Coturnix japonica: one gene and its partner. The protein of the gene in region 1 interacts with the protein of each later gene in a pairwise test. Links are inferred from orthologs where the notes say so. Each region holds a gene or a part of one and is shown in the gene's direction. Other genes may lie near its edges.

Region 1 (3,815 bases):
CCATACCGTGTTGCTCACAAGTGCTGCAGATGCAGTGTAATAAACTTAAATTTGTGTTTTCTTCTATCCCTATTGCATTTACTAATGCTGCATTCTGTCTGAGGACACTAAACTTAGGCAAGTGTGCAAATAAAGGTATGGGATTTGATAGCTAAGTTAGCATAGGACTAGTTTAAGGGATATGAATGGAATATGAAAGGCAGTGAGAAAGGTAATGGGTATGTTACTGTGAATCTTGAAATATTCTCCAGTGTACCATGATTTAGGCACGGACCTTGTAATGTATAGTATCCTCTCTTCTACAAACTGTAATTCTGTTGCTGAATTAGCTCAACAGAGGGTGTTGTTTTTAATAAGAATCTGTTACTATAGTTTTGTCTTATTACTTTTGGTATTTTATGGTGTAATGAAGAGCTATGTGCCATAAACATAGGAACAAACTGTGTGCTTTTGGAACTACCTTTTGTTTCTCTTTTCCTTTCTTTCATCTTTGTCTTGTCTCAATTGGCTTTAGTATGATTTCATTCCTCCTATCATGCCTGTCGTGGAGTCAGTAGATCCTGCATCATGGAGGCAGGGCTTGCGCAAAACTGGCATTGTTCTTGTGCCCAATAAGGGTGAAAAGGCAATGGTGAGGTTCTGGTGTGCACAGGCTTGTGTACAGGTTGCAAAATAACATATTTAATCAAATGTTGATAGCAGATTTGCATGGTTTTAACTTTGTATCTCATGATCACTGTGTGTATTACAAAGTGTGAATTTTTCCAAGCTAACTCTTAGAGGAGTAGTATTCCTTGACCAGTTTTATGTTTCTTATCTCATTAACTAATTAGAGAGAGGATTGCCTAGGTTGTCTCTCACTGCAACTTCCCCATGTATTCAGTACTTCTGTGATTATTAAATGTGGTTGTGTCCTCAAATCTCTGCAAGGAACATGAATTACTACAGATAGTGCAAATGAATAGCCTTTAATATGCTACTTTGTTTTATAGTTTCCAACCAAGGTTTCTCCCAAAGAAGAAGAGAGGAAAGATGAATCTCCTGCTTCATGGAGGTTAGGTCTTCGAAAAACTGGTAGTTACGGTGCCCTTGCAGAGATTACTGCTTCTAAAGAAGCTCAGAAAGAAAAGGACTCTGCAGGTGTTATACGTTCTGCTTCAAGTCCCAGACTTTCCTCTTCATTGGACAACAAAGAAAAGGTAATTGTTTTCAGTGTGAAACAGTATTTTGAGGAGCTCATATACTTACCACAGATGCTTATGATGTATTCTAAAAGTAAGACATTCTCTTTGGAGTTTACTGCATGTTTATACTTTAGCAAAATTCCAAGCTGTTAAATTATAGAGCTGTTGTGTAATCTCTTTAAAAGTACAGTATGCACATTTACTGTCTTTTGACTTGGTACATAGGTGTAGGACTTACATCTTTTAGGGACTTGCACTGTCAGTAGTAGTGTTTTTTTGCAATTATGGGGACCTGAGGGTTGGCAGTTTTGGCATCACTTGGAGAACAATGTTGAAAAACTTCCTGAAAAAGAAATCTCTTACTGAATTCTGTGGTCATTTTTTTTTAAATTTATAAAATATTAATTGCATATTTAAACACAAATATGCTGTAGTGAAGGACTAATTTCATCATCATCATCATAGAATTACCCAGGTTGGAAAAGACCTTGGAGATCATCAAGTCCAACCGCAGCCTAACCTGGCTGTATCTGAACAACATATATTCTATTTCAAGTGCAAATGTTTAAATCTGTTTTCAGTAATAATACTAATCTATGGTATACAAAAATACTAAATTAGTTTCTTTCAGTAAGTAATCTCCTGATTTCCAGTAATATAGCTCTAAATGAGAAATCAAGCCATTTATATTACTAGCATGAAATCACAAACAGTTCCCTTCTCCTGTTTTAATCCTTAAGATATTTAACTGAAACTTAAAACTTACTTGTATAATTGGATCATGGTAAATACAAATGTAGTTGCTATAACAGTGATCTTCCAGCTAATAGGCAGTGTAATCAATAATAGTAACACTTACTAAAAATCTGTGTCTTTCAGGAGAAAGATGGAAAAGGAACTAGACTTGCCTATGTTGCACCCACAATACCAAGACGACTGGCCAGTACCTCTGACATTGATGAAAAAGAAAACAGGTGACTCTGAAGTTACTGTTTAATATTAAATTATGTGATTTTAGAGTAGCTGAAAAACATACAGATATGAAGATGCTACTAGTTTATAACATTAGCCTGTTTCATAGATTATGCTGACCTGTAATCAAATTCTGGAAGGGTTTTTGTCATGTAAGTCTTGATAACCCCTTTTAAAATCCTCGTTATTTTGTGGCAGGAGTTCTGGGCATTGAGTGTTGTCATCTTGGGGATGAAAATAAAATTAAATGCAAAATAGCCAGTTGTAAACTTCCAGCTAATGAAGAATACAGAAAGAATTTTACTGCTTTGTCTTGAGCCAGAGTGCTGACATTGAATTCCATTTTTACTTTTGCTGAAAAAAAGAAACCAACCTCTTTCCTGCAGTACCTGGTTAAAACCATATCTTTCAGCACCAGCAGTTTACAGAAATTCTAGCAGTTCTTTGGTAACTTCCTCTTCTGTCTTTCTTGTTTGACTGTTGGTCTTTCATCATCTTTTGGAGATACTTAATCCTTTACTAATATTTTTTTCTTCAGCTTTCGATGTGAAGGGAATAAAAAGTTTAGGTGCCATACACTTGTCACTTACTAGGATTCAGAGAACTTCCATGACTTACCATGTCAGAATCTTCCCAGTTTTCAGTTCTCTCCTTTATTAAGATTCTACTTGGCTACTTTCTTGAGTTTTAATGCATAGTATAAAGTGGAGAAATTTCCTTAACACCTCGTCTCTGTCAGATTGTATTTAGATAGCCCAATTTTAAATAACTTAAAAATGAAAGTAGCTCCCATTGATCAAAATGTGCTACTATAATCGTTGTATCTAAAGCTGGCAAACCTGTTTTTGGAGTGCTCAGTTAAGAGTAAGCACAAGATGCATTCTGTTTCTTCTTATGCTTGTGGAATACTGTTGGCTAAGTTCAGTCTCTGAGTGACAGTAGCTGTTCTGAAGCAGGTATTCCAGATCTCGTGCTCCCTTTAGTTCAACTTACTGTACTCTCATCTCTTATGTTAGTTGACCATTTTTTCAAATCTGTATTTCTTTTAACACTGCAGTTTGGGGTTTCTACAGTCAGTCTCTGAGAGTACTATATTCTTAATTGCAGTTGAATTTATTGTTCAGTTGTGATTTGATAACAACAGATTGTTCTTACTGCATGTTTTATTCTTTTGAGGTTTTCTCAAATACTCTCACTATCCAAAAATGTCTTGGCTAAATGATACCTTAAGTTTGGGATAAATATTTAATTGCAGTCATATTTCTTATAAATTGTTATTGCTTGTCACAAAGGGATTAAGGTTTGGTGCACTGTTGAGGTATATTTCTCTCTTTGACATACCAGTCTCAACCATCATGACTTATTCACAGACCAAGTTCCAAAAGTGGTTACCAGCAGTGTCATGTTATTCCTGATATGCTTGACAAGAGATCATCCGTGTCATTAGACTTGGTGTTGACTAAACAGTTGACCTAAGAACTAACTTTATTCCTTGATGTACGAGTTATAAAGCACGCTTATAGGCCAGCTTTCTTAGACACCTGTACCTTGCGTAGTGTATGTTATGGCAGACAATTCAACTTATTTAAAATCATAACAGAATTTTGACACTTAGTCTGACCTCCCTTGCATGTAGAATTGGACTATCTGCCCTACAGG
Region 2 (4,523 bases), about 29 Mb from region 1:
ATATGTCTAGGGATGGTGATTCAACCACCTCCTGGGCAGCCCATTCCAGCATCTGACCACTCTTTCAGCGAGTTTTTCTATCATCCAAATGGAATCTACCCTGGTGCAAATTAAGGCCATTCCCTTTAGTCCTATCACTAGTTACACAGGAGAGGAGGCCACCCCCCCTTTTTCTCAGGTAGTTGTAGAGAGCAGTAAGGTCTCCCCTGAGTTTCCTCCAGACTAAACAATCTCAGCTCCCTCAGCCATTCCTCATAAGGCTTGTGCTCCAGACCCCTCACCAGCTTTGTTGCCTTTCTCTGGACACACTCCAGGGCCTTGATGTCTTTCTTGTAGTGAGGGGCCCAAATCTGAACACAGTACATAAGATGCAGCCATACCAGAGCTGAGTAGTGGGATGCTTACCTCCCTGCTCCTGCTGGCTGCACTATTTCTGATGCAAGCTAGAATTTTGTTGGCCTTCTTGGCCATCTGGGCACACTGCTGGCTCATGTTCAGCCAAGCATCAACCAATACCCCCAGGTCCATTTCTTCCACACAGTCTTCCAGCCACCCTGCCCCAAGCCTGTAGAGTTGCCTGGGCTTGCTGTAGCCAAAGTGCAGGACCCAGCACTGGATCTTGTTGAATGTATGGTAACTCCTGAGTCACAGCCTGAACCACTGATTGAGCAGCTGGTCAACCCTGGGAGCACAGGTGAAGGCAATTTAGCTGTGAGACCAGTAGAGATGGAGCCTGGCTCCATTTCTCTTAGACCTCATTTAAGGGCTGACTGCCATTGTGGAAGGATCTCTGGTTGGAGATCTCTGTTTTGTGGAATTTCCCCTTGCAAGCCCTGATCTTTGGAGACAGGTGAGTGCTTTTCCTTTGAAACCCCGTACTATTTGTGCTAGTCCCTTTGCTACTACATTCCTGTATTGTCCTTCCACCATGCTGACCTTTCTGATTGTGACATTCAACTTCATCCCACTGGCACCAGCAGATCAATGCTTCCTTCCAACTTGGTGACATTTGTAAACTTGCTGAGAGTTCTCAATGCCCTCACCCAGGCCATCAATGAAGATACTGATCAATTCTGTGATTCTGTGATATTGAATGGGAGAGGCTCCAACACTGACCCATGGGGAATACCGCTCATTACCTGCTACCAACTCAAACTCCATTCACCACTGGATGTGAATGGTGAGAATTAAATAACCCATACTTTTTTTGTATCATGCTTTCTTTCTGAAGTATAATTTCTGAATTCCTTGTCACATCTCTGGTGAATTAAGTTTGGTTTCTGTCTAGCGAGGCCTTTTGTAGTATGTGGCTACAAATAGTTATTCACTGAAAGTTCCAATTCTTATCCTGTAACAATAATAATAACTGTAAATATGTTAACCTTTTCTATATGTATTTAAAACATACAGTATTACCTACTTGGAGGCAAGCATTTGTGAAAGTATATGGGAAGTGAGGGAGGAAAACACTTGGGAAATGTTTGTGTTGCATGTGGCAAGCATTTACCTTCCAGGCTGTGCAGAGAGCCACAGGATGGTCCTGAGGGCCCCTGTGGGCCGACGAATAAAAGCTGACCGGGAAGACATACCTACAGATAACTTGTTAAGGGTATTTTTGAGGAAAAGGCAATGTTTTACAGAGCACAGCCCAGAGTGCCCACTTTGCCCCGTGGGCCAGCCCAGTAGACATCCTGCCACGGGCAGAAAACGCAAAAAGCAGCGATCTAAGGGCAAAAAACACTCTCCCTTCAGCAGCAGCACGGGACCTGGGCAGCTCCAGGGCGCTGCGGAACGCACCGCACACCCACCCTCTCCCTCGGCCCGCTGCTGGGGCCGGGCCGCCGCCATTTCCGCGCGGCGGGGGCGGAGCTGGGCCGTGCCGGGATACGCGATGGCGGCGAAAGCCGGAGCGTTGCCTGAGGTGGCGGCGCGACTGAAGAGACTCATGGCTGCCGAACCGTCGGCCCGTCTGGAGAGCGTGCGGGCCATGACGGGCCTGTTCCGGGAGGCGCAGCCCAGGTAGCGTGGAGGAGGGCCCGCCTGCGGCCACGTGTGCCGGGGGAGGGAGCTCCGGCCGTGCCGCCGGGCCTGGGTGGTCCTTGTGACTGCGAGCAATGCTTGTTGACTGCCGCGGGTTCGGTGTGGTGTTCGAGGTGCTCGCGTAGCTAAAGAGCCCTTGGGAAGCGACCACCGGTGGCTGAGTGTCGCTTATTCCTGTTGTTATGGCTCTGCCTTCCCGAGGGCGCCGTGGTTTACCTGGGAGGGCCCGGGAGTCACTTGTGGGGCGGGGGCCAGTGCGGTGTCCTCCTACGGGTGCTATGGGTACGGGGCAGGTGGCTGCAGTTTCCCTGCTAGGTAAGAAGTGAGTTCATGTGAGCAGTGTACACGCGTGGCACTTTCATGTTGTGCTGCTGCAGTCCAAGCAAAGCTCTGGGGGTTTGAGGTGGTTGGTCTGTGCCGGGCAGCAGAACAAGCTTGAGCGAGAGGAAGGGGGGAATTACCATAGGTAACTTAAAGACATGAAAAACAGAACGTATAGTTAATGGGAAAAAAAGCAAACGTGGTGTGTCCCTGTTCTGTAAGGTCAGGGATGGATGTCTGCAGCACCATGTGATGCTGCTGGCTACAGCAAAGTGCTCTGGATGTGCAGAGGTTCAGCTGTGACTGTGGTGGTTTTAGCTTTCCCTGGAAGGTAGGAGTCAGTGGAGGCTTATGGGAAGCTTGTGCCCTGCTCTTGTAACAGTAGCTGAAGATTATAACTTCTAGGAAGTTTGATCTTTGTGTAAAAGTGTATTATCTTTCTGGCTTTCTTTTTCTCTTGGGAGGCCAAAGGCCCTGTGCAAATGTTAGGCTTACACACTGATGCTTTCTCTGCTTCTTGCCTCCATCCCTGACATCTCTGAAACCAGCATTGACAGGGGGGTAGGTAACAGTAACCAGTAACAGTAACCAGTGTTCTTTGTATACATATAGTGAAGTGAAAGAGTGTAATCCTTCTTCTGAGGTGAGGAAGATGTAGCGTGAGTTTACAGCCCGTAGTACATGACAGAATGAATATGAGAACAACTTACAGAGCTGGCCAGCCATGGAAGATTAATGTACTTGGTGATATTGAACCAGAAGAAATAATCCAGTGAACACTTGATATTTAACTTGTGACACTGAGTGATAATTATTTTGTCATTATGTGATTGGTAAATCTGTAGTGTTCATGGTAACAAAAAAAATAAATGTAAAAAGGGAATGGCACTGTTTTGTAATTTAGAAGCAAATAAGGTTAGCAAAATAGGGGTAAAATAATTCAGTTATGTGGAATTAACTCAAGTTTCCCGCATGTTTCAATTGAGATTTTAAGTGCCTTTGAACAAATGAATTGTTTCTAATTTACACATAGAGATATAGAATGGCCGAGTTGAAAAAGACCACAATGATCATGAAGTTTCAACCCTCTGCTATGTCCAGGGACATCAACCACCAGACGAGGCTGCCCAGAGCCACATCCAGCCTGGCCTTGAATGCCTCCAGGGATGGGGCATCCACAGCCTCCTTGGGCAACCTGTTCCAGTGCGCCACCATGATTTTTGAAGGTCTGGTGTCTTGAACACAGTTAGATTAGTATTCTTAAACCTGTGTTCAATTGGATATCATTGTATAATTCATTTTTTTTAACAATGAATCTCTAAGGTCATAGAGTGGCAGTAATCTTTCTTTCAGCATGGATAAGTGAGTTCTAAAATGATGTTTTGACTTAAGAAGAAATTGTTTATGTCTGAAGGCTGGGCTGCTGTACCATTTGCTTCTGCTTTCAGTGTTCCTGCAGCATGTTTTTTCTTGATTCTGAAAACAAGTGGCAGCAGCAAACTGTGAAGGTCTGTCTGAAAGAATAAAATGCAGGAAGAAGTTTCTGGGATACTGATAGAGTGAGTGAATGAATTCTGGATGAATTTCAAGGCATGTTTAACGCGAAAGATATCTTTTCAGAGAAAAGCTACTAAAGGGACTTGTTGCGAACTTCACAGAATAATACTTAAAGATGAGGAAAAGGTTATGGAAGGGAAATATTTTCCTTTTCAAAAACGTTTTTAAAATATTTGTAGCCACTGTTCATATCTTCATGAAAATCTTTGACAAGAAAGATCTGGAAAGAGGACCACTTAAAACAAGCAAAAAACAATGGTGGTAAGGATTGCTACCTTTAGTTACCTGAAATCAATCTTAACTCATTCTTTAATGCTAGCTAAACATTTCCTGCTCTCCGCACTAGTTTGAAAATTGAGTTTTATGTTCAGAGAGATGATTTTAATTAAAATGTATTTGTAGCATGCACTCAAATTGCAACAATCTGTAAAAGTTTAAGTGCAAGAATCATATTTAAATTTTCTGTAATTATTATCCGCTTTACTGAACAATCTTTAAATCATGACTTCTTTGTTCAGGAGAACTTTTGTGTGTTCACATAAGCTTTTCATTTCTGTTGTAGGAAGAGATTTGACTTCTACATAGAAACATCTGGCTTGATTTCT

Evidence for each region.
Region 2: the proteins of PPP1R12A (region 1) and ATXN10 interact in binary tests that used the Homo sapiens proteins (3 or more experiments, as listed by UniProt). The link is inferred for Coturnix japonica from reciprocal best matches to the Homo sapiens genes PPP1R12A and ATXN10.

What each region holds. Positions count from the first base shown.
Region 1 is NC_029516.1:35,956,183-35,959,997, reverse strand, and holds part of PPP1R12A (protein phosphatase 1 regulatory subunit 12A), read left to right. Parts: intron 1-514; coding exon 515-631; intron 632-992; coding exon 993-1,199; intron 1,200-2,063; coding exon 2,064-2,158; intron 2,159-3,815. UniProt on the Homo sapiens protein: Key regulator of protein phosphatase 1C (PPP1C). Mediates binding to myosin. As part of the PPP1C complex, involved in dephosphorylation of PLK1. Capable of inhibiting HIF1AN-dependent suppression of HIF1A activity.
Region 2 is NC_029516.1:64,914,656-64,919,178, forward strand, and holds the start of ATXN10 (ataxin-10), read left to right. Parts: upstream 1-1,519; 5' UTR 1,520-1,534; coding exon 1,535-2,019; intron 2,020-4,523. UniProt on the Homo sapiens protein: May play a role in the regulation of cytokinesis. May play a role in signaling by stimulating protein glycosylation. Induces neuritogenesis by activating the Ras-MAP kinase pathway and is necessary for the survival of cerebellar neurons.